Regions from separate parts of the Mus musculus genome. Here regions 2, 3 and 4 are each reported to be linked to region 1. Evidence: microRNA targets listed by miRTarBase, many of them from high-throughput screens and not tested one by one. Region 1 holds a microRNA gene; each other region holds the end of a gene's coding sequence.

The links. The annotated mature microRNA mmu-miR-7b-5p reads UGGAAGACUUGUGAUUUUGUUGUU and lies in region 1 at 4,391-4,414, shown strand. An mRNA with a match to its seed (bases 2 to 7 or 8) in the 3' UTR can be bound and repressed. Matches are read on the target gene's strand: a 7mer-m8 pairs with bases 2 to 8, a 7mer-A1 pairs with bases 2 to 7 and ends in A, and an 8mer does both.
Region 2: miRTarBase lists Crls1 as a target of mmu-miR-7b-5p. Seed matches in the 3' UTR shown: 8mer at 5,239-5,246.
Region 3: miRTarBase lists Chrnb2 as a target of mmu-miR-7b-5p. Seed matches in the 3' UTR shown: 7mer-m8 at 3,873-3,879 and 8mer at 2,726-2,733.
Region 4: the mRNA of Scamp3 is a reported target of mmu-miR-7b-5p. The part of its 3' UTR that is shown has no 7-base or 8-base seed match.

What each region holds. Positions count from the first base shown.
Region 1 is chr17:56,238,627-56,245,742 of GRCm38, forward strand. Mir7b (microRNA 7b) reads left to right here and starts at 4,362; the gene lies at 4,362-4,472. A230051N06Rik (RIKEN cDNA A230051N06 gene) reads left to right here and starts at 3,090. Exons shown (of 2, transcript NR_155493.1): 1 at 3,090-3,188; 2 at 3,530-4,179.
Region 2 is chr2:132,864,620-132,871,735 of GRCm38, reverse strand. It overlaps Crls1 (cardiolipin synthase 1), which reads right to left. Exons shown (of 7, transcript NM_001024385.1): 7 at 4,963-5,899. The coding sequence ends at 5,812. Lrrn4 (leucine rich repeat neuronal 4) reads left to right here. Exons shown (of 5, transcript NM_177303.4): 5 at 833-3,220. The coding sequence ends at 2,036. Among named protein-coding and RNA genes, the nearest start is that of Lrrn4, 13 kb to the left of the region's middle.
Region 3 is chr3:89,751,230-89,758,345 of GRCm38, forward strand. It overlaps Chrnb2 (cholinergic receptor, nicotinic, beta polypeptide 2 (neuronal)), which reads right to left. Exons shown (of 6, transcript NM_009602.4): 6 at 2,219-6,041. The coding sequence ends at 5,871. Adar (adenosine deaminase, RNA-specific) reads left to right here. Exons shown (of 15, transcript NM_001146296.1): 15 at 1-2,226. Among named protein-coding and RNA genes, the nearest start is that of Chrnb2, 9.8 kb to the right of the region's middle.
Region 4 is chr3:89,181,040-89,188,155 of GRCm38, forward strand. It overlaps Scamp3 (secretory carrier membrane protein 3), which reads left to right. Exons shown (of 9, transcript NM_011886.3): 7 at 136-237; 8 at 887-1,004; 9 at 1,260-1,731. The coding sequence ends at 1,406. It overlaps Gm45927 (predicted gene, 45927), which reads left to right. Exons shown (of 19, transcript NM_001310017.1): 17 at 136-237; 18 at 887-1,004; 19 at 1,260-1,731. The coding sequence ends at 1,406. It overlaps Fam189b (family with sequence similarity 189, member B), which reads left to right and starts at 2,104. Exons shown (of 12, transcript NM_001014995.2): 1 at 2,104-2,909; 2 at 3,113-3,169; 3 at 3,374-3,484; 4 at 3,591-3,710; 5 at 3,850-3,957; 6 at 4,395-4,570; 7 at 4,695-4,794; 8 at 5,740-5,809; 9 at 6,020-6,565; 10 at 7,037-7,105. The coding sequence starts at 2,685. Gm16069 (a long non-coding RNA gene) reads right to left here and starts at 3,388. Exons shown (of 3, transcript XR_003954659.1): 1 at 2,978-3,388; 2 at 869-1,938.

The DNA of each region.
Region 1 (7,116 bases):
CAGAGAAACCCTGTCTCGAAAAACAAAACAAAAAACAAAACAAACACACAAACAAAAAACCCTTCATTCATGCTGGGCAGTGATGGCACATGCCTTTAATCCTGGCACTTCAGAGGCAGAGAGAGGTAGACAGATTTCTGAGTTTGAGGTCAGCCTGGTCTACAGAGCAAGTTCCAGGACAGCCAGGGCTACGAAGACAAACCCTGTCTTAAAAAGAAAACAAAAGCAGCTCTTTCTCTTCTGGTCCCAGGCGGTGTGGGAGCCGTGGGTTACCGTGCAGACATGGCCAAGTCCAAGAACCACACCACACACAACCAGTCCCGAAAATGGCACAGAAATGGCATCAAGAAACCCCTGTCGCAAAGATACGAACCTCTTAAGGGGGTTGACCCGAAGTTCCTGAGGAACATGCGCCTTGCCAAGAAGCACAACAAGAAAGGCCTGAAGAAGATGCAGGCCAATAATGCAAAGGCAGTGAGTGCGCGCGCAGAGGCCATCAAGCCCAAGATGCCAAAAGGCCCCAAACTCAAGCGGCTGGCTTTCATCGCTCACCCTAAGATTGGGAAGTAAATTCGAAGCTACATGGCCAAGGGTCAGAGGCTCTGCCAACTGAAGCCTAAGGTCCAAACCAAGGCAGGGGCCAAAGCTCCAGATAAGGCCCAGGCTTCAGCTCCAACCCAGGCTTCCAAAGGTGCTCAGGCCCCCAAAGGTGCCCAGGCCCCTGTGAAGGCCCCATAGAAAAGGCTCCTGCCAGTGTGAAGACAGACAGACTGCTGTGACACACCTCCCCACACACTATTTGCAGATGATCAGTGTCCTATGCTGCTCTCACAAACTCAGGCAAGATCTGTAAAAAACAAAAACAAAAACACAACAAACAAAAAAAAATCAAAAGCAAAACAAACACACAAAACTTTCATTCATCGGTGCCTGCCCACACCCGTAGTTTTCATGACACAGGACACATTGAGGTGTCACCAGAGGGAGAAAGTGGGAATCATGAACCTTCACACAGTTTTCCAGGATAGGAGCAGAGCGCATCAACAAGGGAGACAGACCTGAGGGACTTGAGGCCAGTTGGAGCTGGAAATGGCAGCCTACACCTGTGATCCCAACTCTTAGAAAGCTGGGGCAGAGGATTTCAAATATGAGAGCAACCTCAGCTACAGAGCAAAGCCCCTATGTCAAAGAATTAAAATACACTGCTGGAGAGGTAACTGAAGTGTTTGCCACGCAAGTGTGAAGGACTGAATTTCATCCCAGCACCCATCAGAAACCAGGCATGGCAGTGAAAATAGCACACATGAGGAAGCACATGTGTAAGTTCCTGGACATTTTCTTCATGATGTCCAAACAGTGGCGTAGTTCAAGGACTCTGAGTCCTTGAACTAGGAAATATCTGATGGACAAAATCCATCCACAAAATGATTGTGATTCAATCCTGAGAGATGTGTGGGGGCAATGGAGCTGGAGGGTGAAGGCACTTGCTGTGGGGTGGCCTGAGTTCTATCCCTGGGACACATGTGGCAGAAGAAGAAAACCTACTCGTGCAAGGCTTTCACAGAGCTCCAGATAAGCACCATGGCGCGTGTGTGCACATGCATGAGGGTGGGCTTTCACACACCGTTTCACTTTCTATTGATTTGTATGTGCGGACATGGAACACAGGACCTCACAAATGTGAGAGAAGAAACCTGCCAAACAGCTTCCCGTAGCCCCAAACGATTCTCCAGCGTGGCAGTGGTGATGCCAACCTTTAATCCCAGCACTCAGGAGGCAGAGACAGGTTGATCTTTCTGAGTTTGAAGCCAGCCTGGTTTACACAGTGAGTTCCAGGACAGCCAGGGCTACACAATGAAGCCCTGTCTCAAAAAGCAAACAAGCAAGCAAGCAAGCAAACAAACAATAAAAAGAACAAGAATTCTCCAAAGGTTTAAAATGAATTAAATTAAATGTGGGCTGCAGGACCCACAAGCTCTCTGCTGACTTCTATGCATGTACTGTGCATGTGCACATAAATAAATAAATAAATAAATAAATAAATAAATAAATAAATAAATAAATAAATCTTATAATTTCAGGGAGATGACTTAGCTCTTTGAGGGACTGCAAGGCTCTGGGTTCATATCCAAATTGAAAGAATGGGAAGAAATAAGAGAGAAAAACAAAGGGCGTGGGGCATGCAAGTTTTACCCAAGAGACTGCTAGAAGGGAAAGGGACAACTGATCAGAGCTTAGATCTTGCAGGTGGCTTTCCAGGGTCTCATCCCAGGTTCCCTGCAGCCCCTCCTCCCATGCCCCTAGGGTGTATAGAATGAACCTGGCTTGCCAGCTCCGCAGCCTGAGGAGCTGGTAGGAGATTTACAAGCCTGAGTGTGTGTCCTCCCTGACTGTCTGTCCCTTTGGTGCTACAAAGGAAGCTATGTAAATGAAGGTGTGTGATGTGCCACACACCAGCCTTCCCAGTGCTGAGAAGGCTGAGGCAAGAGGATCACAAAAGTGAGAGAGACTGTGTTAGAGGGGGGAAACTGTGACTAGGGCTCAGGGACAGAGCGCTGGCCCAGCAATCAGAAAGCACTAAGTTCCATTCCCAGCACTGCATCAATCTAGTGTGGAGGCAAACTCCTGATGGGAGCCTGAGGCAGGAGAATCATAAGTTTGAGGTCATCATGGACTACAAATCAAGACCCTAACTCAAAACAAAACAAAAATCGCCAGAGCTCCGCCTCTATCCTACGCTTCTGTGAGTCTCATTCCCGCACACTTCATCTTCCCTGTGTAGAATTGGACTTTATTTTCAAAATCCCTCAATTTCTTCAAACATTTTTTTTCAGCTTCTCTGTCCCAGCAGGCACACGCTTGATGATCGCTAATCCTCTGGCTACTCAGTGATCAGGTTTTAGATGATCCTCTCGTGGAAACTTAACAGGCCACAGGACTACACCCTGACACCTTCTGGAGACCCCTAAAGAAGTTTTTGGACGGATGCCTGACTTTTATTCTGAAGCCGAGGCCTCAACCTATGAGGTAATCCTTGGAGCTTCATTCCAAGACGATTCCTATTGGTTCACTGGCTAAGCCCCACCCAGGGTTTCCAGCGCTCCGCCTTCCCCTTAAGCGCATAAAGGTGAAACGTCGGAAACTGGACAGCCACCGAGACACCTGCAGCTGCTGGTGAGCAGGAGAAGGTAAGGCACGAAGGAAGGAGGAAAAGGTGCGCTGAGGGAGGGAAGCGGGGACTCTGGGTACAATGCAAGTTGGCACATCTTCCAGAAGGCCAACTGGACTGTTTAGGAAGGGCAGAGAACCCAGGGCTGTCTCCCTGAGATGTGGGAGCAGGTGAGAGCCTTGCGCCTTCGTCCCCGCCTAGAACACCCCGGGTCCATGGGAAGAGATTAAAACAGAAGATGGGTCCCTAGGACGAAGAACAGAAACAAGGAGCGGGGCATTTTGGCAGAAGGCAGAAGCTGGGAGAGTGTCCTCGAGCCGCACTGACCACCCCCTCCCCCAATAACTAATTATGTTTCAGCACTGGAGACGCGGACAGCGCCATCCGGCTGAGGGACTCGGAGCAGAGTTCGGCTTCAGCACCAGGATTTCGGACAGCTCCCAGCGGGTCACGAAGAGACTAGGCTTCAGCACCCGGCCCCTGGCAGTGCCAAGCTCTCAACACCCAGCTTCAGGGATCGCCTTGGGGTCTGTTCTGGCGGAGAGTGTACAGGGAAGGAACCTCTTAATGGTTCTTGGCATTTGTCCTTTACGGAGGGATTTTTTTTTTCTTTTTTGAAACAGGGTTTTTTTGTGTGTACCTCTAGCTGTTCTGAAACTCACTATGTAGACTAGGCTGGCTTCAAACTCACAGAGTACAGGCGAAGCATTTGGTCAACGAGATGTTATGAGTGCCTCTGGGTGTACTAATTTCCAAAGTGAAGTGGTGAGGGGAAAGCCAGCCTCAATCCAACTTTAAATCTCAAGTTCTTTTTATTTTTAAAAAGAGTTTTTCTCTCAATTATATATATAATTATTATTATTTTAAAACACTGTAGACCAAGCTTTGAACTCCTTGTGTAGCCAAAGATGATCTTGAAGTTCTCATCCTCCTGCCTCTACTCCCTGCGTGCTGGGGTGACAAGTGTGTGCTCCTCGTGCCTGGAACAATAAATCCCACGTTGGTGATGTGCCAGGGTGTGAGTTGGGGGGCAGGTAGAGAATGAATCTTGCCTGTGTCTCAGGGGATGGAATGGAAAAGGGATGTCTAGGGAGGGTAAGTCAGTGAGTGGGGTTTGTTATGCTCAATCCTCTATGGAGAGAGAGAGAGAAGCACTTGAGGGTGTTGAACCTGGCGGAGGAGGATGAGGACGAGGAGCGGAGTACGTGAGCCAGTGCTATGTGGAAGACTTGTGATTTTGTTGTTCTGATATGATATGACAACAAGTCACAGCCAGCCTCATAGCGTGGACTCCTATCACCTTTCTCCTGAAATACACAAACAGGTAGGGGCAGGAAACTGGGACAGGAGGGGGTTAAGGGAAGTCTAGCACGGACAGGAGAGGGTGTCTAGCAAGGTCTCGGGCCCTGGGAGAGTGCAGGAGTGTTTCCCATGCTATTGGCCTGTCACTCAAACACATCTACATGATAGGATCAGAGACACAACCTCAGGGCCCTGGGTCACAGCACCGTGCTTTCTCTGGAGACTCAAATAGGGAATGGTGAGCCAGTGGAGTAACTCAGAGGGAAAGAGTGCTTTGAAATTAGGGAACCCAAGCTTGAGCCCCAGGATCAACTGGGTAGAAGGATAAAACCAACTCCTGCAAGTTGTCCTCTGACCATACATGTCCTGTGACACACATGCTTCCACACACAAATAAATAAACACACATAAAAATTTTTCTTTTTTTTTTTTTTAAGAGAGGGTTTCTGGGGCTGGTGAGATGGCTCAGTGGGTAAGAGCACCCGACTGCTCTTCCGAAGGTCCAGAGTTCAAATCCCAGCAACCACATGGTGGCTCACAACCATCTGTAATGAGATCTGACTCCCTCTTCTGGTGTCTGAAGACAGCTACAGTGTACTTACATATAATAAATAAATAAATCTTTAAAAAAAAAAAAAAGAATTACATTTAAAAAAAAAAAAAAAAGAGAGGGTTTCTGTATATAAACCTGGCTGTCTTAGAACTTACTCTGTAGACCAGGTTACCCTCAAATTCAGAGATCCACCTGCCTCTGCCTCCTGAGTGTTTGAATTAAAAGCATGTGCATACATAAAACTTTTTTTTTTTTTGGTTTTTTGAGACAGGGTTTCTCTGTATAGACCTGGCTGTTGCTCTGTAGACCAGGCTGGCCTCGAACTCAGAAATCTCCCTGCCTCTGTCTCCCAAGTGCTGGGATTAAAGGCATGCGCCACCACTGCCCGGCCATAAAACTTTTAAAAGAGGGATTGGCATCAAAGGTACTTCTAGAAAACCCTGAAATTCTTTTCTCTTTCTTGTTTTCTTTTCCTCACTCTTTTCACTTTGCCTGCTTTGAGACAGTGTCACCTGTAGTCCAGGCTTTTCTCTAACTCTGAATGTAGCCCAGGATGGCTTTGAACACTGAGTTCTCTTGCCTCCAGTCCCTGAGAACCATGCCTAGCATACACGGTGTTGGATTCAGAATTTCAAATGCTTTGACTGGGTACGGTACCCATGGAGCCCCAGCCCAATTTTCAATAAAACTCTGTGCCCGCCACACAAAGCAACCACTAGTTGCATGACTGATACCAAGAAAATGTGGACTTGTTGTCTGGTGGGTCATGGCATTCTTAACATTCAACACCTATCATCTGTGACATTCTAATGCAGTCACTAACCATCCCCCACTGTGCAATTCTCCCCAGCTGTCCTAGTGTGCATCCTGGTGCTGTGACAGGACCTTGACTCAAGAAAAGGGCAGGAAAGAGTTTATTCAGCTTACAATGATGGCCACACTCCATCACTGAGGGAAGTCAGGGCTGGAACCGGGAGGCAGGAGCTGATGCAGAGGCCATAGAGGGGTGTTGCTTACTGGTTGCTTACTTGCTTCCCCTGGCTTGCTCAGTCTTCTTTCTTATAGAATCTGGGACCACCAGTCCAAGGATGGCACCACCCACAATGGCCTTAAATCATTAATCATGAAAATACCTGATAAAGGCCTTTTCTCAATTGAGGTTCCTGCTTCCCTTAAGCTCCACCCGTGTAAAGCTGACATCAAACTCAGTCACACAGCAGCCCAGGGGCTGCTTTGTCCATGCAGTTTCCTCTCTTGGGTCTGCACAGTCCACTCACATAACCTCCCATAACCAACTCTGCCTTCTCCAGGCTTCAGCTCGGTGGGAGAAACTTCCTGTTACCTCACTGGTCAATTAGGACAAGACTTTGTTAACATTCTCAGCCTCCTGCAACGGCCACACTATTTAGGAAAGGCTGATACTCTCAAACAGAATGTTTACAGATCTCTTCTGGGGGACTCTAAGTGGGGCTCCACCCCTGACCATGCCCTCAACTCCTCACTGGGTGATTCTAGGAGACTCCACCACTGAACCTGGCCCCCATCCTTTACTGGGGTTTCTACGTGTGGGCTCAACCCATGACCCAAACCCAACTACAGGGAAAAAATACCAGGAAGAATTTAAGATGAAAACATGTAGATTCAAGGCAGGGTTTTTATTGATAAGTCATACTTCCAGCTTTTATTTTGTTTTTGTTTTTTTTTTTTTTTTTTGGAAACAGGATAACACTATATAGACTAAGCTTGTCTGAAACTCAAGAGACCCACCTGCTTCTGCTTTGCCTCTAGAGTGCTGGGGTTAAAGATGTGACCACATCCCACCCCGTGCCTGGCTTATCTTTTATTTATTTTTTTGAGGATGTCATGCTACTTATACCCTGAATAGCCTTGAACTCATGATCTTCCTGTCTCTGCTTTTTCATAATCTAGGGTGAGAGACTGTGATGGCAATCCTGCTACTGTGTTTCCCCAGTACTCTACCCAACTCACGGTGTTCAAAGGGTGCTCGATGAATGTGTGTTGAGTCCACAGTGGCGTCAAGGAATAGAGCCACGCAGCAGCAGCAGTAAACAAAACCCATCTGGTCACCACA
Region 2 (7,116 bases), not on the chromosome of region 1:
GGAAATGTAGTCTGTGGGCCAAGCAAGAACAATTGTGCCATCTTTCCATTTTACAGACAAAGGAATAGAGCCCAAACAAGTGAAGCACTTGATATCTTAACTCATGTAGCTGTTAGATGTTGCAGGCAGTATTCATCTCCATCTCCACCTGTGCTCTTAATGACTAGGCCCTTTGACCACCCAAGAGGCAGCCCAGCTCTTGACCATTCAGCCTGAGGCTAGTATGCTTACAGAGCTTTCTCCTGGCAGGAAACCAATTCTCAAGGTATCTCTTGGCTTAGTAGAGCTTTTCTCTAAGATACACCAGGGGATCCATACCCAAGCAGGTGTGAGAAGATGGGTGCTAACAATCTAGGGATATTACTTATCGTGAGCACTCCTAGACCATCCCCACCAGCTAATTGCTCCATTTTGGAATCAACCATCCTCAAAAGTCCAGCTGTGGTGTGGGGCTCCTCACTTCCATTCCCTACTTTGTTTCCCATGGTTATCGCCAAATCCCTTAAGAGCCAGGGGCTAACCATGATGTTAAAAAAAGATGTTGAGAGCACAGGCTAAAGCCAGAAAGTCTGGCTTTGTTCCACTTCCTACTGTAGATACGGCTGTGCTCTGCCATTTGCTAGCTATGACATCTTGGGTAGTTAGCTCCTTCTTCCTATTTCTTGTTTTGCCCAGAAGGGATGAAGGGACTTCCTTCAAAAGTTTCCTGGGCCAATAAAACGATGTTACCAGACAATATCAGATAGAGATATGTTGACAGAGGAGACACCCCACATTAAGGATTCCAAAGCTTGAAATCCAGGTATCTCCTAATGAGTGGTTTCCCTTACAGGGCAGCTGATACCATGTGTGAGCCTGCTTTAGGATCCACGGGCCCCTTCTCAGGCCCTCTCTCCCTCTCCCACCTGTCTAATGTGTGCAGGTCAGACCAAAGCACCACCCTCCTGCCTTCAAACCCAGGCCGCTTCGATCATTCAGTTTTTGCACCACGGATACAGGGGCCTTCCATTGAACAGAGCACGGCCTTGTCTGCTCAGCCTGGAGGAAGCCAACAAAATATCACCAAGGTCCCTTCCCTCACCATGACTTCCCCCACACAAGGATCATGGATGTATAAAGATGCTTCAGAGGAAACTGCCCAGTCCACTAACTCTGAGCTAGTTTATAGTCCTTCCAGGGCTCTGCCTGGTGCTGCCAGTTCTGGGGCAGAGCAGACTGCCACACATATCCTTGAGCCTAATATTTCATCTGCCTCTACCCCATTAGTCAGCAAGTACCTTGAACCCTTGCCTACTTCACCAAACCCCAGGAGCTTACCTCAGACCAAGCAGAGGACACAAGCCACGCCCAGGGCTCTCCACACAGACCCTCCACAGGATGAGATTCCAGTTTTGCTGTTAGATGATGACAGCGAGGAGGAGGAGACTCGGGACCAGGTGGCGGCACCTCCCCAGGACGTCTCTTGTGAATACCACCCCTGCAAGCATCTGCAGACCCCGTGCGCAGAGCTGCAGAGGCGCTTCAGATGCCGTTGCCCTGGTCTCAGTGGGGAGGATACCACTCCAGACCCTCCCACGCTGCAGGGGGTGTCAGAGGTGACTGACACATCAGTGCTCGTCCACTGGTGTGCCCCCAACTCAGTGGTGCTCTGGTATCAGATCCACTATGTGGCAGAAGGACGATCTGGGAATCAATCCGTAGTGGACATCTATGCTACTGCCAGGCAGCACCCCCTGTACAAGCTGACACCTGGCACCACCTACCATGTGTGTGTACTGGCAGCCAACAGGGCTGGCCTGAGCCAGTCACAGACCTCAGGCTGGAGGAGGTCATGTGCCACTTTCACAACCAAGCCCAGCTCTGTGGTCATCTTCTGGGGACTGTGTACCGCCAGTGGCCTGTTACTGGTTAGCACCCTGGTGCTGTCTGTGTGTCTCTGGAGGCAGCGCTGGAAGCCACACAGGCAGTTCTACGACACACACCTGGTGGCCTTCAAAAACCCAGCCAGAGCTGAGGAAGTAACTCAGTGGGAGTGACTTCCTAGCCTGTACAAGGCCTTGGGTTTATCCCCAACATCCAAATCAGACACATTTGAGGCCTTGATTTTCCTTCCAGCAACCAGATTAAACAAACCAGCCTTGGCCACCTGCAGAGGCTCCAGAACTTCAATTATCCCCGTGTCTCCTATTTGAAATACATCTGCATGCAGAAACATGCTGATGCCTAAGGACAACATGAGCTTCAAATTCCCTGAAGCCACCATGTCTCAGGCTCACACAGAACTACACTGTGTCCTCCTCTGTTGAAGGAATGAGTGTATCACCCTTCCTCCTATAGTTGTTCTCACTACGCCTGTCTTACTAGCTCCTGTCATTCTGTGACATCCTTTACATTGGTCAGTACTCCGTATATCCCTCAGTACCAAGTGAGATACTACACTGAAGGAGATGGGATAACAAAGCAGTTGTAAGAAGGAACAACTCCTTTAGAAATGCCATCTCTAAGTTTCTTGCATGGACGTTCCCTTGTGGCCCGATTTTAGCACAATGAGTTCTGTTGGCCTTGAGCTGATAGCCAAGGTAAGAGCTATTGTTGGTTTGCTAAGGCCTTCTGGATTCTTACTTGTATTTCAGGGTGTGTCAAAACATGTATTTCCAGAGTTACAGTTAAAACTGGCCTTCTGGTAACATTTGTGAGACACAGGCAATTTGCTTCCAAGTCTTTCTGTATTTCACCCATGTTGGTCTCAACTTAGATCCTTCTGCCTCTGTCTTTCCAAATGGTGGGATTATAAACATTTGGAGCGGAGGCAAAATTGAACTCACAACAGTGCTTATTTCTATTGTAAGGAAAAGTTGTTTGAATTCATCTCTCATCTTCAAAACAGGCTGTAGCACAAACACCATGCTGCAGACAGCAAGTTTATCAAAGCTGAACCTGAATATGAATCACACTATACATTTCTAAGTGGGTTATCCAAGCATGTTTTCAACATTCTAAACTGTATCCTTATTCTCATCAAATATATGCCCAGGAGAATTTGAAAGATCTCTCTAAATCCCACTTTAAAACTTACAAAGGCAGTGGAGTGGGAGTGGGTGGGGGAGCACCCTCATAGAGGCAACGGGGAGCGGGGGAGAGGGCAGATGTGGGATGGGAATTTGTGGAAGAGGAACCAGGAAGAGGGATATCATTTGAGAAGTAAACGAATGGAATGATTAATAAAAAAAAAAAATTTAAAAGAAAGTTACAAAGGCCAAAATGTGAATTAGTATTAAGTCCTAACACATAATTAAATGGCCTCAGTGTTTCTAGCCTACTCTCAAGAATGAGTCTATTCTATGGAGACACTTAATAAATTTGCCAATTTGTATACATAAATGTATATTCTAATATTCTCATTTAAATAAAATTCTAGTATGTTAAATGGACAGGATGTATTTTGTAACAATTCAATACAGAAGATCCTGAGGGCATTTGGACTGTAAGAGTAGATACAGAAAAAGTGTGTTGACCAGAGCTAGGTCGAAAGCCCTTCATTCTAAGGATACTATGGGTTAACAATAACTGCAATAAGCTAATATAATTAAACGGAGTAAACATCTAATTTCCTCCATAAGCACTCTGCCACCTTTTTGACATTTCTCAATCACCATCCTGGATGCTCCAGCAGTCCTTCCATCTCTAGCCTCAGCAGCTCTCAGTTAGAAAACTGTGATGGGAGAGTTGAGGCAGAGGCAATGGCCAGCCTTGCCCATCTTTTCTCTTGCCCCTGTGATTCAGTTGTAGAGTTTAGTATGTTCTAAGACTGGGTGGCTACATTACTTCTCTACTGCTGTGACAAAACACCATGACCAAAGCAACTTACATAAGGAAAGGGTTATTTACTTGTGGTTTCAGAGGGTAGGAAGCTGGCAGCAGGTAGGAACGGCAGTTGGAGCTAAAAGATGAGACAGTTCAAATCCTGACTCACAAGCAAAAGCAGAGAGCAAACTGGGAATGGCACGTGGCCTTGAAACCTCAACGTCTGTCCCCAGTGACACACTTCTCCTAAACCAAACATTCAAACACCCGAGACTGGAGGCATTCTCATCCAAACCACCACAGTGGCTAAGACGTCAGGACCAGCAACAGAGCTGCACAATGCAATAAAGCTTGAGTTTCTGTCTCTTAACTTCTATTTGAACACAGTTCAACAAAATGACTAGAGGCTTACTGTATAGTAGCATGTTGGGGAATGTTTCTGTGCAGTGTATTCAAATGCTGATTTCTGTACCCGGACATCATCTGGGTGCAGTCCAGAGTTTGGTATTGTCATCATTACAAAGCATGTTCTGACTCGGTATTTTGTAAGATATTGAGATATTGTTTTCCTTTACCTCTGATTGGTTCAAGAGCTGATCAGCCTAGGGCTGGGGAGGAGAGTTAAGGCTAGACTTCCAATCTGAGTGAGGGGGTCCTGGGTGGAGAGTGTTGAGTGGCCAGGAGGGAGTTGCCATGAGGACACGGATAGGGAGGAACAGCCAGGGTGAGACTAGGAAGGTAGGTAATGGGGCATGTGGCTGGGTGGTAGGCAGCATAGCAGGGTTAGAATAGATCAGAACCCTGTCCAGCTGTAGTGCAAGAAGTTTATCAATAAATATTCCAGGTCTCCTTGTCGTTATTTCAAAGCAAGGGCAGGTGCAGACAAACTTTTACATCCACACGATTCTTAGGTTAAGCTAAGGAGAGAGGGCAACCAAGAGCCTCTAGTATGTGGAGGAGCCTCCCAGCTCCTGACTCTACCTGGAGCTCACTTCTCTAAACACACGGGTAGAGCAGGTCTTTATGGTCAGATGGTCTGGAATCAGTAAGTTTTACAACACAGGGGGAAGTGCTGCATCTAAGTGCACGTCACAGATCGGGGAACTTATATAGTCTCATCAACACACACCACAGGACAACCCAAGTGCAAGGCATGGATTTTTTTCCAGCTCTTTTATTTCTTTTTTATCATGTTAACAATAGAAGATTCCCCAAAGTTAAAAAAAAAAAAAAAAACTTTGAAAAATAGAAAGTTTCATCCTATTTACATGACATATGAGCACTGGTTCCAGTATCAAACATCCCATTACAAACAGGGAGAAGGCATGATGTCATGCTTTGCCTGTAAGATGCAAAGCGTAATACATGTGTTCTCCCTCTGACTCCTGCGTTATCTGTTATCCTGATACATAAACTATTTGGTACCTGAGAGGCTGGAAGACTACTCGTGAACTTCAATGCCTTCTGTTTTATTTGTTCTTTTTTGTTTTCAAAATGTACTGCATTTTAAAGCTCTGTACACCTTTACAGTACCCACAGCTAAGTTTATTCTCAGTTTTCAAATGATCAAGTATTAATCACATGAACTGTTAATGTATTTATAGATTTAAAATTCAAGCATAAAAATGTATAGACATGCTGTGTATGGTGTGTATCCAATCTTAGGAAATTCCCTCCTGCTTTCCTTTGTTTCCATGTTACCAACTATGTTTTTAAAAAACATAAAAAAAAAAAAAAACAAGAATAATTCATCTCACAAATTAATCAAAAACCTAAGATTAAAAATTCTACATTATAGTTTTATTTGTATTTAAAAATACACTGGAAATTCTGTATAGGCCCATGATCGAGCTTATTTTCGCCGTACATTTCTTCAGTTTTGAAGACATGGTTTGTCTGACAAGACCTTTCGCAAGCTGAACACCAAGATCAGGAAAGTCCTGTAGCTTTCGCTGGCGCTGCTGCCGATGACGAAGTTGCTTCCTTGCTGCTGGATCTGGGTGCTTCTCATTTGCCCTTTATCACCTGAACAGTTTTCCGACCATAGTGATAATAACTGTATGCTGATGCAGCTGTAGTGAATGCTGTGCAACACCTTGAAGAGAGAAATAGGATTCAGTTTCAAATTCAAAAACAGCGACCACGGAAATCATGAAGTACACACGTGAAAACGAGCTAAGAAAACAGGGCTGTGTGGTAAAACTGTCTAACTACAAAATCAAAATTCACGGCTTCCTTTAAGACCTCATTTACACTGGTGATGCCAAATAAAAGCCATCTATAATTACCGAGGCCTAAAGACTAGTAGTACTAGTGACTATCCTTTCCCACACACAACCCTAGGTGTTCGATGTTCTCCCACAAAAGCACTCTCATACAGACATGAATGGCAACAACTATAAACAGACTGGAGTGATATGGCTCAAACTAGACAGTTCCTACTTAAGGCTGCTTGGGGCCACCTAAAGTCATGCAATGCCCTGAAGCAGAAACAGGAGATCATGTTGTATCTGGGTGCAGTTTGAGAGAAAAAGATCCTCCATCAATAACCCAAAATACAAAAGGGAAAAAAAAACCAACCCCTATATTTTATGTAAGAAAATGAAGTTTAGACTGTATCATTTTAAAAAGTGTTTAGTATAATTTACTTTGATTAACCAATCAACTTTGTTTAGAGCTCTAAAGCAAGTTTTAAATATAATTAAATGTTTACTAAATATCACTAACCATCAACATGGCAGCCTATTTACAACCTATTTATTTGAAAGTTTGAGTTTGACACATTTCAAGATATTCACAGCTGAGGAATTAGAATTCAAAGTGCTCACCCTGGGGTGCCCTCCCACTGCACCCTCCACTAGGCTGGGTCTTTAATACCACTGTCCAGTGTCTCCTGGGCACCCAGCTCACCTATCCATATGGCTCAAATGACACTTCCTTCCTGCAGTTATTTGTCCCTCTTCTTACTTTCTTTTCCTCCAAAACTCCTAACACATCAGCAATCCTTCTCATCCCTCTAAGTTGTGACTGCTAACTTCTGTCTTCCATGCCTTACAGTAAGGCTAAGATAGTGTTAGTTGTGTTACAGTAAGACTAACACATTGGTTAGTTGTGTTAATCACTATCTACTGTAAAAAGCAGCTGCTCTGATGAGTGTTAGGAATGTACAGTGCAAACAGAAGAGCTATATCACACTCCCGACTGCAAGGCTCAGGGATTAACATGCAAGCAGCAGAGGAAAATTATAAGAGCCAGAGGTGCTGGGCATTTGCCACAAAATAGTATTTATTGGACATGACAAAGATACTGCAC
Region 3 (7,116 bases), not on the chromosome of region 1:
ACCGGGCCAGAGGATAGGAGCTTTTTTTACCCACTCCCCCCTTTTTTAATGGTAGAACCATAATAGATGGTACCAAGAACTGCTTTCTTTGGGATTTCAAGGTGGGGTCCAGCCAAGTCCCCACCTCCCTTTTCTCAAGGGAAGAGGCCAAGATTAAAGGAAATGGAAATGCTACCATTCCATATGTAGCACAGACAGTTCTTGGTCACATGGAGCCCAGGCCCCTCGGGCTTCGTTTTGCGGAGGTTTTTTTCATCTCCTTTTCCTTTGCTGCACTGGCCTCTTGTGGGTTTGATTCCATCCCATCAGTTCTCTGTAAATGATGTCAGGGGCCAGTGATGTCACCTGCAGATGCGCAGGCAGGCCCCTGCTCTGTCATCCTTCCCTCCTAGGATGCCTTCCTGTGATGAGGTTTCTCCTTCCCCACCCCAGAGGATAGAGGTGAACATAAAGGATTGGTGAAATGTTTACAAGGGCAGGAGTTGACAACCGTGGTCAGGGATTGTCGAACAACAGGAATGTGGTAAACTGTGGTTGGGACAGGCAAGCCCTACCCAGTAACAGGCCGTGCTGGCCCACCAAGGAACTTCCCTTCCTGGGCAGCAGGGAAGTTGAGAATCGGCCAGTGGGACCGAGGAAGGTACCCAAACCAAGCACGTCCCAGTAGGGGTCCACAAGCACTAACTAGAGTGCACCAGCATTCCATGGAATGTCGCTATGCCTCCATCTGCCCCTCCATGAGCACTCCCAGAAGCTGGCCCTGGGCACGTGTGGTGTTGGCCCCAGGCCCCAGCTGTTTGTGAAAAGCAGAGGGTGAGCATAGTGGGCAGAGCAGCTTTGCCCAGACGGCAAAGGTAAAGGCAGAGCATCCTGCCGGTGCACTGGGATTCTTCTGGTCTCAGCAGAAGTGACAAAGCCCTGCATAGAATTAATGTTTCTAAAAGGCCAGAGGCATTGATTCTGAACTGCATCAAAGACTGGAGATGCAAATATTACTTCTCCATTAGTAAATGTACTTTCATTCTATCAGATGGCTTCAGAAGCTGGGTCACGGACAGGGCACAGGGCCCTGGAATCTCTGCCCTGCTCCTTTGAGGATCTTCATTTACATACAAGTGTTGTAGGTGGCAGGGCAGGCTGGCCTCCCACTCTGGGATGGGCTTCTTTGACTCCTCCCCCTCTGACAGTGACTTGTGGGTATGTGGGAGCCTCTGTAGAATCTGGTTCTAGCATCAGATCAACCAGCCAGACCCTGCTCCATTCTGCCCCTCTAGGACCAAGCCCACCTCTTTCCTCTGAATGGTGTGGCTCCATCTGGAGACAGCTGGCCAGTGTGTTCAACAGTTTCCTGCACCCCCTTGCTTAACCCTCAGAGCTGCCTGGTTCCCCCACCCTCTGGCCCACTGCCAACAGCAAACATCACATTCGTACTTCAAGTCTAATGGCTACTGCCTCCTCAATCTATGAACAGATCTGGCCAACACAAGAACCTGTGTCTTCACAATACACTGGGGATGTCTTTGCACAGCCAAATCATCCTATGAAACTCCAGCGTCTGTGGAAGTGAGAAAGCAGCACCATGCTTGTGGTGTCGGCTGGAGGCGTGTCACCCTCCGGCAACTGCATCTGAAGCAGAGCCCTTGTGGTTTCCAGGCCTGGACAGGGAGCTCTTCCCCTGGGGTCTAAAGGACAGAGATGTCTCTCCCTTTGATTCCTTTGGTCCCTCTGGTCCTCCCTGGGTATTCACACATACCCCAATCCTGTCTAGACAACGAGTGGTTCTGGGTTTCTGCAGATGGAAGAGAGCAAGGTGTCCCTGAGTTCTGTGGACTTGACCCCCGCATCCCACCCTGACCCTGCCTCCAGTCCCGCTGGCCGAGGGCAGAGCCTCCTCCCACTGTGCTTCCTTCACGTTTACTTTAAGAAGCAGGGCCTCCCTCCACACCGTCTCTTAATACTTTCTGTAGTTGATTTGTCTGAACCGTGGCTGTCTTGCATTCCTTGAATAATCATGTGTAAGAATTGTCAATGCTTGAAACTATTTCCTGTACTCAAGTTGAAGGGACTTTGTTGGCCTTGGGGTTTTAGCAGTGACTCCAAGAGCAGAGTGGGGAAGCACCCAGGCATAGCCTTGGCGCTGTGATGGATGCAGTCCCTCCCTCTGTCCCTTTACAAGTGACAGTATACATTCCTAAAAATAAAAACACTGAAGCATCAGGACTGTTACAAAGTTTTATATCTTGGTTCTTGGGGGAGGTGAGATTGGGAACAGGGACCTGTGACAGGATCTCTGGCCACAGCCACAGTAGTTTCAAGGGCCCCACTGCTTCTACAGTCTGACTGTAGTTCAGGCAGTGTGATGTGCCAGCCAGTTGGGGACTCGGCTATGTCCTCAGCACTTTCCCTGCTTCAAAACTTTTCCCACCTGAGCCCACTCTGTCATCTTTTGTTCCTAGTTTGGGGGTTGTGGGGCTTAGTAGATTTCAAAGCCCCAAATGAGAAAACAGCACTGGAGACAGCAGAAATCTCTGCTCCTGCCAGTCTTGCTGGTGTTGCTCTCCCCACAAGCCTCGGCCTTTACTGTCCTGTACGTGCCCTTTGGAAGGCAGTTGCAGCTGGGACCACGACACATTCAGATGCACCTTTTAACTTTGTGGATGGCATCGAAAGTCCCCCTCTTAAATTTTAAGGAAACCCAGCTCTTAGTAACTTACTTCAGAACTCCTGGAAGACCTATCTTTGACCTTTCAACAGTGACAACATACCCAAAGACACTGAGTGTGAACTCTCTCATAATCCTTTAGACAGATGGGTCAGCTGAGGTCAGAAGACCCAGTGACATGTTTTGGGGCACAGCACTTAAGTCCAGGGCTTCATGTGGTAGTCACTCCCTGTTTAACTGAGCTGAGCAGTTTTAAAGGCAGTTCGAGGTGACAACTCCTGCTGTCCTAAAGTCTCAGTGGCTCTGTCCTCCAGCAGCCACTGGGTCCAAATTCGAGGAATGGAGTATTCCAGTTTCTGAGGGTGTATCCAGCTTTGTGGGCTAGAAGTGTTGCTCAGGATAAATTGGCATCACGTACAAGTGGATTCCGTTGATCCCTGGCCCTCAAATTTAAAGATAGATGGTTTCCTTAAAGCCTAGCTGAAGGCCCCAAGGGCTCACCCACAGATTCACTCTGATCCCAGGATCTGAGCACAGCCTGTGCAGTGGGGGTCTGCCAGCTCACTGAAGCCTGGATATTTTAGAACCCAGACTGGAGAGGAAGCCCAAACCCACACCACCCCTGGTGGTTCCTTATAGAGGGTCTTCCCCAGAGGTCCCTTCTGGGTCTAGCCACCTGGCCATTTCTTTTGCATCTAACAAAGGGAGCAGATACCACTGACTGGGCAGTACACACTGCCCTTCACCCTTGCTGACTTTTGCTTTACCCTCTCTTGAGTGGAGATTCTCCAGCATCCTCCCCTTCTATATCTACCAATCTGATCCGGAAGGGTTAGTCCCCTTACCCCAAACAGAACAAAGTAACTCAACATATTTGGAAACAATTTTAAGAGAAATAAGTCCAGCTATGGGGGAGTAAGTTTGTGGCGGGGGTGGGGTGGGGGGGGGACATGGAAAATATTCCAGGAATGAAGACAAGGACGTACCTAGGACAGTGCAGTGGGTGGGTGAGGTGTCCTACCAGTTCCCAAAGTGATCAGGTCCTTTGGAAAGCAAGTGACCAGCACACTGACAGACTTCTCAGACATGATGGGATAATTACTACAAAGTGACACTTGGCTCTGACCAGTTGGTGAGTGGGAAGCTGGTCAGTGCATGTGGGGCTCAACAGTCCCTTCTGCCTAGAAGCAGAAAGCAGAAGGTGATAACAGGAAGACCTGTCACTCTTCTTGGGGAACAATTCAGAGAAGGCTCTTTATAAAGGGCTTTGCTTTCCTCCCTAGGAAGTCTCCCGCCTGCCCAAAGGCCATGGGGACAGGCAAGGAGCAGGTCCCATGGGAAGTCATGCTCGCTCTGCTGCTGCCCCTGGTCTCAAGAGCTTCCCTGCAGGGCTGTAAGAGATGGGATCCCATAGCATAGGCACAGTGGCCGGTCCACCATTGTCCTTGTTTCTTACAAGAAAGTCCTGTCCTTCCCCTTCAATTTTCCCCAAAACGAGCCTTCTGGAGGGTCCTGTGTCCTGTTTGTTCTCAGCTTTCCACACCCTTGGCACTAGCTGCTCCAGACTTGCAGGTCTCCACAGAGGCAGGGGGCCTGTGGGCCATCTGCCTAGGCAAAGGCGGCTGCCAGGTTACTGGAGCTTAGTCCCTGATTCGAGTCCCCAACACCTTTCATCACTGCCACTCCCATGCCACCCTGTCCCAGGTTCCCATCCAGGTTCACCAAATCAGGTACCTGATTCTCACTAGAGACAGCTCCACGGAGGAGGAGGCACGGATAGAGACAGAAGGCCCCAAAGTGGTAGGGACTGAGTTTCCCCAAAACCTCCCAATGTCCTTTAGGGTTCAAACCATCCTGACACATGATAGCCTCCTACCACCCCTCCCCCACTGCAGTCTTCCTCCAAAGGCTGCACTAAAAATGGCAAGAACAGCACTGCTCCCATGATCCTCCACACGCCAGGGTCCCTTTCACCCAGCACAGCCCTGCCTACCTTTATTCCCACAGTGTAAATGCTGGGAGCAGGTTCTAAGATGGGCGCTGTTTGCCTGATATGTTCAACAGGATACGGAAAGGAGCTGGACAAACTGTTCACTGATCTTTCCAGTCCTGGCTGGTGACTAATTTGGACATCAGACAGTTACAGGAGGTAGTAAAGTCAAGAGTGGTCCTAGCTGTAGCTGGTGGGGTCTCACAGAGGCTGGAAAACCAACACTGGTGCTACCCTCCAGAGGGACAGTACCTAGCCAGGTGCTGCTTATGACTTCAGGGTGCTTTCTCTGGGTCTGGAAGTTTATGGGGGTTGGAGAGGGGTCTTACACCGGCAACCTTTAATTTCCTGTTCTAGTAGGAGGTCTGTCTCTCCAGTCACCAAACAGAGATGCCCATGAGTTCATCTGACACTGAGGCACAGTTTAGATGTCTGTCACTTATGTCCTTTAAGCAGTCCGTGGCCTTGGGGCAAGGAAGAAGGGACCCACCTTCTAGGCTTGTTCTGAATCTGTAACATGGCTCCCAATGAAGGCCAGCACTGTAAATGTTCTTCTAAAACTGTGAGCCTAGACTTCTCACCTAGCTCATGACCTTCAAAGGTTCGCCCAACACCTCACCTTTCCCAAGTGAGAAAGGAAAGAGAAAAATCTAGAGATACAGAGAATTCTGCACTGGCAGAAGCTGGGGCTGGGTTCTGGAGCCCTCTGAGGCACAGGCTGTGGATGAAGCATCCCAGGAGAATTGTAGGAGCTCTCAAGAGGACTCCCTAAAACTGCAAGTCTTCCCAGACCAGTGTTGTCCACCTAAGCCAATTACTAGCCATACCCTGCACCTTTTATCTCAGGAGACACCATTGTCAGCCTGGCTACAGAATCTGAACTCCTCATCCTACCTTCTCTTCTCCCATGACTCGGAAGCCATAGATAACTGTCCCTTTCTTGGCCCCTTCTCTAGCACCCTCATCAGATAGGTGGCTCTGAGATCTCTGGCCTCTACTTACCAGCCTTGGCCCCCACCGTTAACACTACTGCCTGAATCAGCTCAGAGGGGAGGGAGAATGCTTGAACATGAGGCAGCTGGTCCAGCCTCCAGGCTGGAGGCCTCTGTGCGAATGGAGGTGTGAAGCAGACTTCAGTGGAGTGGGGATCAATCCATCTTCCACCCAATACTACTGAACCCCAGGGGTCACGGGATGAGTAGCTGCAAATGAGAGACCTCACTTGGAGCTGGGAGCTGAGTGGTCAGAGTGAAGGAAGGTCGTGGCAGTGTAGTTCTGGAAGAGAGGCTGCAGGAACATGCCAATGGTCCCAAAGACACAGACAAAGACAAAGATCCAGAGGAACAGGCGGTCGATCACCATGGCAACGTATTTCCAATCCTCCCTCACCTGGATGGAGGAAATGAAGGTGACCCAGATATCAGTCACCTGGTGTGGGAAGAGGCAGGAAAGTCCCTACCACGTGTGCACCCCCCCACCCCCACTCCTCTCCCTCAGCAAACCCAGAACAACTATTCATGGCTCTGATCCTGCCTACTCCAAAGTCTCTAGTGCTCCCACTGCCCCCGGGGCCCACCCGAACCTACCCGTAACAAATAGGAGTCTACTTCCTACTACCTCCCACACCCCAAAACTCAAACTTAGTAAGAACTACAACATGTCTTCTTAGCTCTCTCACTTCCTTAAAACAAAACAAAACAAACAAAACTGGTAAACTCCTACACATATTTCAAAGCCCTAATTTCCTAATTGTCTATTCACCAAACAATTAATGGCTTCCCTGCTCCGGTTGGTCCCTGGCACTAGCTAACTCAGTATACTATATTGTTTCAATCTGTATGTCTGGCCTTCCACCAAACATGAGAGGGACCCTGCCAGCATCCGGGACAAGGCTCTCAGTAACTCAGAGGTGCTGCCTCTGGGGCTCTGCTTTTATGATAGCTTGAGACACCCTCCCACAACCTCAACCTCACTCCTACACAGAACCCAGAAGGTGCAAGTGGTGCCCAAGTGTTAAAACATCAGTCCAAAAGGTAATGATATCCGTGGGGTTTGAGAACCATCTACAGGGTCACAGGAAAAGCCAGCTTCTCTTCCAGACTGAGTCCTGTCTTTTTGTATGTGTTTATCTGGGCCCCAGCCAGATCACAGGACACAAGATAGGGAGCCAGCAACTGTGCAATTCATGTAGCTGGCAGCCAAACAGTCACTCACTGAAGTCACAGTTGGGCCTGCCACAGACCTGGCATCCTGCAAGGCTCGGAGACACAACCAAGTGAAGAACCCTATGGTTTTGAGTATCTTCAAGGAGACAGAGACAATAAACCTCTCAGAGATCATACAGTGAGAGGGGATGGAAGACTAGGATGGAGAAACAGAAGGAAGATGGGATGGGCCTGGAAAAGCCTCTTCTAGGAGATGACGCTTACAGCAAGCTCTGCTGGGTAGGAAGGAAGCCCTGTTC
Region 4 (7,116 bases), not on the chromosome of region 1:
ATGGGAGGAAGGGCTGCAGTGAGATGCAGTGAGGTGATGAGAGAAGGGCTACAGTGAGATGCAGTGAGAGGTGATGGGAGCTGCTCTGAACCTCATTTTCTAATTCTCCCACACTTGCTTTTTTTCTCTTTGCAGGAGTGATAGTTCATTCAATTTCTTCGTTTTTTTCTTCATTTTCTTCGTCCAGGATGTGTTCTTTGTCCTCCAGGCCATTGGCATCCCAGGGTGGGGCTTCAGGTGTGTGAGCTACCATTCGTCCTCAGCCCTTCCTCACACATTGGGCAACTCAGTTTAATGGGGTTGTCCAACTAAGGGTCATGTGGGTCTTTTCCTTGGGAAAGACTAATGTAACTGAAGTCAGGGCACTCTATGGCTAGAGCCAAGACAGCAGTAGACAGGCAGAGGCTGAAAATTAATTTTCCTGGAGAGGCCATGTCACAATGGACGAAAGATCAAGGGAGTGCCCAGAAGTGAGAAGGATCTCTTTCTCTCTCTCTCTTTTTTTTTCTTGGTTTTTTTGAGACAGGGTTTCTCTGTGTAGCCCTGGCTGTCCTGTCCTGGAACTTACTTTGTAGACCTGGCTGACCTCGAACTCAGAAATCTGCCTGCCTCTGCCTCCCGAGTGCTAGGATTAAAGCCGTGGGCCACCATGCCTGGCTCGAATCTGTTTTTCATGAGGATGCCAGGAGAGCTAGGAGCGGATGCTTCAGAAATGACTGAAAAGTATGAAGAGAATAGATGTAGTGGGATTGGTTCATGGGATGCCGCCATATTGGCCGAGGCCCTGACCGTTGATGGGCCTGGAGCATGTTCTTAGACCTAGGGGACTCCGGGTGAGCAGAGCCCCGGCAGAGTGGTCGGTCCTCACCCGTGCATCTTCCCACAGCGGCTGGGTGACTGCTCTGGTGGTGGTGGGATCCAAACCTGCCGTGGCGGTGCTCATGCTGCTCGTCGCCCTGCTCTTCACCGGCATCGCAGTGCTGGGAATCGTGATGCTGAAGCGGGTGAGGGCCGGTCGGGAGAAGGTGGGGCTGGGGAGTGAGATCATTGGGTCCCTAGGGGCTGCTGAGTGGAACATTAAGGAAATGGGGCAGGGCGGGTGGGTTATCAACTAATGGACTTTCTTGGGTGGGTGAGTTTGTGTGTTTGGAGGGAGTGCCAACGCAGAAGGAACGGTACAAAGCAGGAGACTAGTGAGTGGTGCCATCCTCCTGGGATGGGAGGGGCCTGCCTCCCTTATAATCTCTTCCCTCTTGCAGATCCACTCCCTGTACCGCCAAACGGGTGCCAGCTTTCAGAAGGCCCAGCAAGAATTTGCTGCTGGTGTCTTCTCCAACCCTGCGGTTCGAACTGCTGCTGCCAATGCAGCTGCCGGAGCTGCTGAAAATGCCTTCAGGGCCCCTTGACCCCTGCTGCACCCGCTGGGATGCCCTGGGCCTGTCACCTGTGGGAACCAAGATAGTCCCTATCCCTGAAGTCTCTGGGATTCAGGGAGCCATCACCACTTGGTGACTTCTATGGGGCTCTTCATTCCACAGCCATGACTTTAATCCTGACTTGAGGTGTGGAGAGCCCGCTGTGACTCAGTCATTATTTGCCTTTTATCTCCCATCTGGCCACACTGCTGCCGCCACCTCTCACACAACCCCAACCCCAGTTTCCTTCTGCTGTGCCAAGGATGTCTTCTTCCGTTATTTAAATTAAAGAAAAAAAAGTGTAACTGGAACTCACCCATTTCCTGTATCTTTACTGGAGATTGGGCCATTGTATGGAGTGGGGAACTGGGGTGGAAACACTCTGCAAGGAGAGGGTTGCACTTGGCAAAGTGGGCAGGCTGATAGGCGGGAGATGGGGGAGCCCCAGCTCGGTTTACCATGCCTCTGTTAATGATGAATGAGCAGTCAGTCCCTTTTGGTGTGAACACCTCATCCCGGGAACCTGTGGGGCAGAAAATGGACCCAGAAATGATCCTTAACTGCTCAGGCTTCAGGGCGAGGCTAGGGATGGAGGAGGGCCTCTCCCTATCTCCTCCCTTCCCCAGGGTTGCTTTCAGACTACAGCTCCCGGGATGCATTGCACCACCCACCACACCCCTCCTCCGCACCACGCACCATCCACCATCCCCCACCTCCACAGGCTGACCTGCTGCAGCTGGAGGAGCTAAGGAAGCCGAGCATGGTGGGGAGGGGAGCGGGTCTGCGACTCTGGAGACAGTTTCCACGGCCTCTCCCCACCAGGCGGCCCTGAATGGCCAAACGCACCTCTAGTTCCTGCATGCAGACCTTCCCCCTCTCTGTAGACTTGTTTGCATCCCTCTCGCTTTTGCCCTCCCCACCCTTGCCTGGGTTCCGGAACGCTACTCTTCAGTCTGGGATCAGCCCTTCTCGGCACCCCTCTTCATTAAGGAAATGCAATGAACCGGTGCCCTCGCGTCCTCATCGCCTCCCCGGGCACGGTACCCGTTTGGTGGTGGGGAGGGAGCCCCTCACTGTCCCTTCGTGACGCCCCTCCTTTGGGCCTCCTTCCAGCTGGCGTCCCTGGGCGATGCCCCAGAGGACCTAGCCAGGAGGTGGGCTTTACAGCGAGGGCTGTGGAAAGGATAAAGAACCAGGGCTTGGGTGCTTCTGAGATGCTCACAAGTATCAAGGGGGACCGAGCGAGGTGCGAGCAACTGGGCGGCAGGCATGATGCCCTCGCCCAGTGACTCCAGTCGCTCGCTGACCAGCCGGCCCAGTACCCGGGGCCTTACCCACCTCCGCCTCCACCGACCCTGGCTCCAGGCCCTGCTCACGTTGGGGCTGGCCCAGGTGCTCTTGGGCATCCTGGTGATAACCTTCAGCATGGTGGCCTCCTCTGTCACCACCACCGAGAGCATCAAGAGGTCCTGCCCATCTTGGGCTGGGTTCTCGGTGAGTGGGGTCCAAAGAGTATATAGTACTGGGGTGGGGGAAGCTTCTTAGGCCCCATCCCTCCTCACCTGCAAGCCCACATGGTTGTCTTTCCTTCTTCTCCCAGTCCTCTCCCTCCTTGCAGGGCTGGGTGCATCCTGTGGCAAGGGGCTCACTTAGGTGCTTCCCCTGCCAAGCTGAGCCTGTGCCCACTCTGTCCCTAGCTGGCGTTCTCCGGGTTGGTTGGCATTGTGTCCTGGAAGCGGCCATTCACTCTAGTGGTAGGTGCCAAGGCCCGATGCCCACTAGGAAGCAGGTGCCCAGCAGCGAAGGGGATTTACCCCCCCCCCCCCCGTTATGCCTCCCAGGAGCTTTCCAGTTGGTATAAGGCTAGCAGAAGCTGTCTGAGAAGAGGGTGGCTCATTCTGTGGAAGAGGGATGCTGCTGAAGGTCCCAGCCCTGAGATGCCACCTTCTTTCCCTCAGATCTCTTTCTTCTCCTTGCTTTCGGTGCTCTGTGTCATGCTTAGCATGGCTGGCTCTGTTCTCTCCTGTAAGAATGCTCAGCTGGCTCGGGACTTCCGAGAGTGCTCCATGGTGAGATTTGAGGAGGGAAACCTGGAAGGAAGGGGTTAGGAGAGATGGGAGGAAGCCGTGAGTTTGCTCTGACCCGGGCTGCCTTGCCCTTTGCACTCCCACACAGGAAGGGAAGGTCTGTGTATGCTGCCCACCTATCCCCCTACACAGACCTTGCCCAGAATGGGGCCAGGAGCTGAAAGTTGCCCTCAACTCCACCTGTGATGAAGCCAGAGGGGCCCTCAAGGTGAAGAAGCCCTCCCCAGCCCTTCCCCCTACACTCTTATTTTGGGTCTCCTTTGCTCCCCTCCTGGAGTTTTCAAAGGCTCAAGTGTGTAAGGTTTTTCTGTCCCGGGCCCCTTACTCTTCTCCTTTATCTTCTCCAGAACCTGCTCTTCAGTGTCTGTGGCCTTACCATTTGTGCTGCAATAATCTGTACCCTCTCTGCTATTGTCTGCTGTGTCCAGATCTTCTCCCTGGATCTGGTGCATATGGTAAGAAGGGAGCCAAGGCCCAAGCAGACAGGGGTGGTGGGAGCTGGGTTTGTGTGTATGTGTGTGTGTGTGTGCTGGGCCTGGGCCTGCCAGGCATAGCTACAGGTGACCTGAGGATATTTATTTCGGGGATGTTGAGTGCTGAAGGGAGAGTGAGGAAGACTGGATGGGGTGGAATCTGGAAGGTCCTAGGATGAGGAGGGGATAAAGGATGGGTAGTTGTATGGTGACAGGGAACAGGTGACAATTATGGATAGATGTGAAGCTAGAAAAGGAGAGATATATGGGTGGACAAAGCCAGAGCTGGAGGTTCAGCGTGAGGCAGGATGAAGAAGCTGGGTGTGGCTGAGGAAGGGTGGAACTGGATCTTCTTGGTGGAAGTAGGGCCATAAAAATAGCAGAAAGGGAAGAAATTTGAAACCAGGCTTGCTCTCTAGCAGCTTGCCCCTGAACGGTCAGTCTCAGGCCCCCTAGGGCCCCTGGCGTGTACATCCTCGCCTCCAGCTCCTCTCCTACACACCATGCTGGACTTGGAGGAATTTGTCCCGCCTGTGCCCCCACCACCCTACTACCCTCCAGAGTACACCTGCAGTTCAGAGACAGATGCACAAAGGTAAGGCTGGAGGTGGGGGTGGGGGAGCAAGGGGCTGCTGGGGGGAGGGACTGGATTGCTGGGAGGCATAGCTGTGGAGTAGGAGTTAGTTTCCAGACCCTGATCCTCTCCCTCATCCTGCCAGCATCACGTATAATGGCTCCATGGATAGCCCAGTGCCCTTGTATCCTACTGACTGCCCCCCTTCTTACGAGGCCGTCATGGGGCTGCGAAGAGACAGCCAGGTGAGGAAAGAGCTTGGTGTAGCTGGGAGCAGTGCATGGAGCCAAGACGGCTGCTTGCAAGGATACCAGCCTGCTGGCATCTTTGATCTGCCCTAGAGCTGCTGAGGTGGGTGGGAGATGAACTAGTATTTCTCTTTTTTGTTGTTGTTGTTGTTTTTTGAGACAGGGTTTCTTTGTGTAGCCCTGGCTGTCCTGGAACTCACTCTGTAGACCAGGCTGGCCTCGAACTCAGAAATCCGCCTGCCTGCGGGGATTAAAGGTGTGCGCCACCATACCCGGCTAATATTTCTCTTTTAAAGATGTGTAGTTGGGGGCTGGCGAGATGGCTCAGTGGGTAAGAGCACTGACTGCTCTTCCAAAGGTCCTGAGTTCAAATCCCAGCAACCACATGGTGGCTCACCTGTAATGAGATCTGACACCCTCTTCTGGTGTGCCTGAAGACAGCTACAGTGTACTTACATATAATAAATAAATCTTTAAAAAAAAAAAAAAAAAAGATGTGTAGCTGGGGCATGATGGTTCACTCCTGTAATCCCAGCCCTGGAGAGGCAGAAGCAGAAAGACCATGGGCAACCTGGTCTACATAGAGAGTTCTAGGCCAACCAGGGCTTCAGGGACCTTCTCAAAAAATAAATAAAAAATAAAGATATGGAAACTGATGCCCCCTTAAGCGACTTATAGAAAGCCAGGTGGAGTGGCATATGCCTACAATCACAGCACTTGGGAAGTGGAGGCAGCAAAGTTAGGAGTTGAAAGGCTAGCTTAAGCTACGCAGTAAACCCCCTCTTCAACAAAGAGAACAAAAAGCAATCAAACAAAAAGCAACGAACTCATACAGAGTGACAAAGCTGCTCTGGAATCTCTGGTCGCCAGAGCTTTTGCCAGTACATGGGAGTGGCCATGCCAGTGTGACAGGCCGGACTTTCCATCCTGTGTCTTCTACAGGCCACTCTGTTTGACCCTCAGCTTCACGATGGCTCCTGTGTCTGTGAGCGGGTGGCCTCCATTGTGGACGGTGAGCAAAATGGGCCAGAGTGGACAAGGGCGGGGTGGGGCCGGAAGGAGGGGAAACAAGGCCAGCCAAGTTAATCTGAAGGTTTGGAGTAACGAAGCTACTTTAGAACCCTGGGCCTGTCTGTCTCCTTGAGGATAAAAGCTGGAGTCAGAATGGGCAAAAGCAGCTGCCCTGATGAAATCCCACCTCGCCCTCCCTTGCCACCCACAGTGTCCATGGACAGTGGGTCCCTGGTGTTGTCTGCCATTGGCGACCTCCCCGGGGGCTCTAGCCCATCAGAAGACTCATGCCTGCTGGAACTCCAGGGCTCTGTGCGCTCCGTCGATTATGTGCTCTTCCGCTCCATCCAGCGCAGCCGCGCAGGCTACTGCCTTAGCCTGGACTGCGGCCTCCGGGGTCCCTTTGAAGACAGTCCCTTGCCAAGGCGACCCCCACGGGCTGCCCGCTCCTATTCCTGCTCAGCCCCTGAAGCCCCACCCCCACTGGGTGCCCCCACAGCTGCTCGCAGTTGCCACCGGTTAGAAGGCTGGCCGCCCTGGGTGGGACCTTGTTTCCCCGAGCTGAGGCGGCGGGTCCCCCGAGGAGGCAGCCGCTCAGCTGCACCCCCTCCTGCCCGAGCACCAGCTCGACGCTTCAGTGATAGCTCAGGTTCCCTCACCCCACCCGGACACCGACCTCCTCACCGGACACCTCCTCCACCACTGCTGCTGCCCAGGTCTCACAGCGACCCTGGCATTACCACCTCCAGCGACATCGGTGAGCCTAGTTTGGGGAAGGATAATCCACTAGGACTGGGTCCCTGTGAGATTCCTAAGGCCGAGGAGGTGAAGTTACTCCCCCGCAGTGTCCTTTCTGAATGCCCACCTCCCAGGGACAGAGGCTTCACGGCTAACCAGGTGGGAGGACTTAGTTTTTGAAACCATCTCCACAGCACCTAAGCCTAGGCTACAAAACCACTCCGTTATAGCAACAGATCAACCACAAGTCTCTGAGTTACTAAGAGATAAAGCGAAATAGTTCACAGCCACACAGGAAGTGGCCCGAACTCCCATGTGGGGACCCTAAGCAGAGCTGGGGAGGCAAAAGCAGTGAGGGACAGCATTAAAGAACCCATCTTCCTACACCATAGCATTTAGTTGTAGGCAGAAGCGATCGCTCCTTGAATGCGGATGGAGGAGAGGTGTGTTCATCTAGCAATCTTACACTGTCCTTGTTTCTCCTCCCCAGCTGACTTCAGGGACCTTTATACCAAAGTGCTTGAGGAAGAAGCTGCCTCTGTCTCCTCTGCAGACACAGGTCAGGCGTGT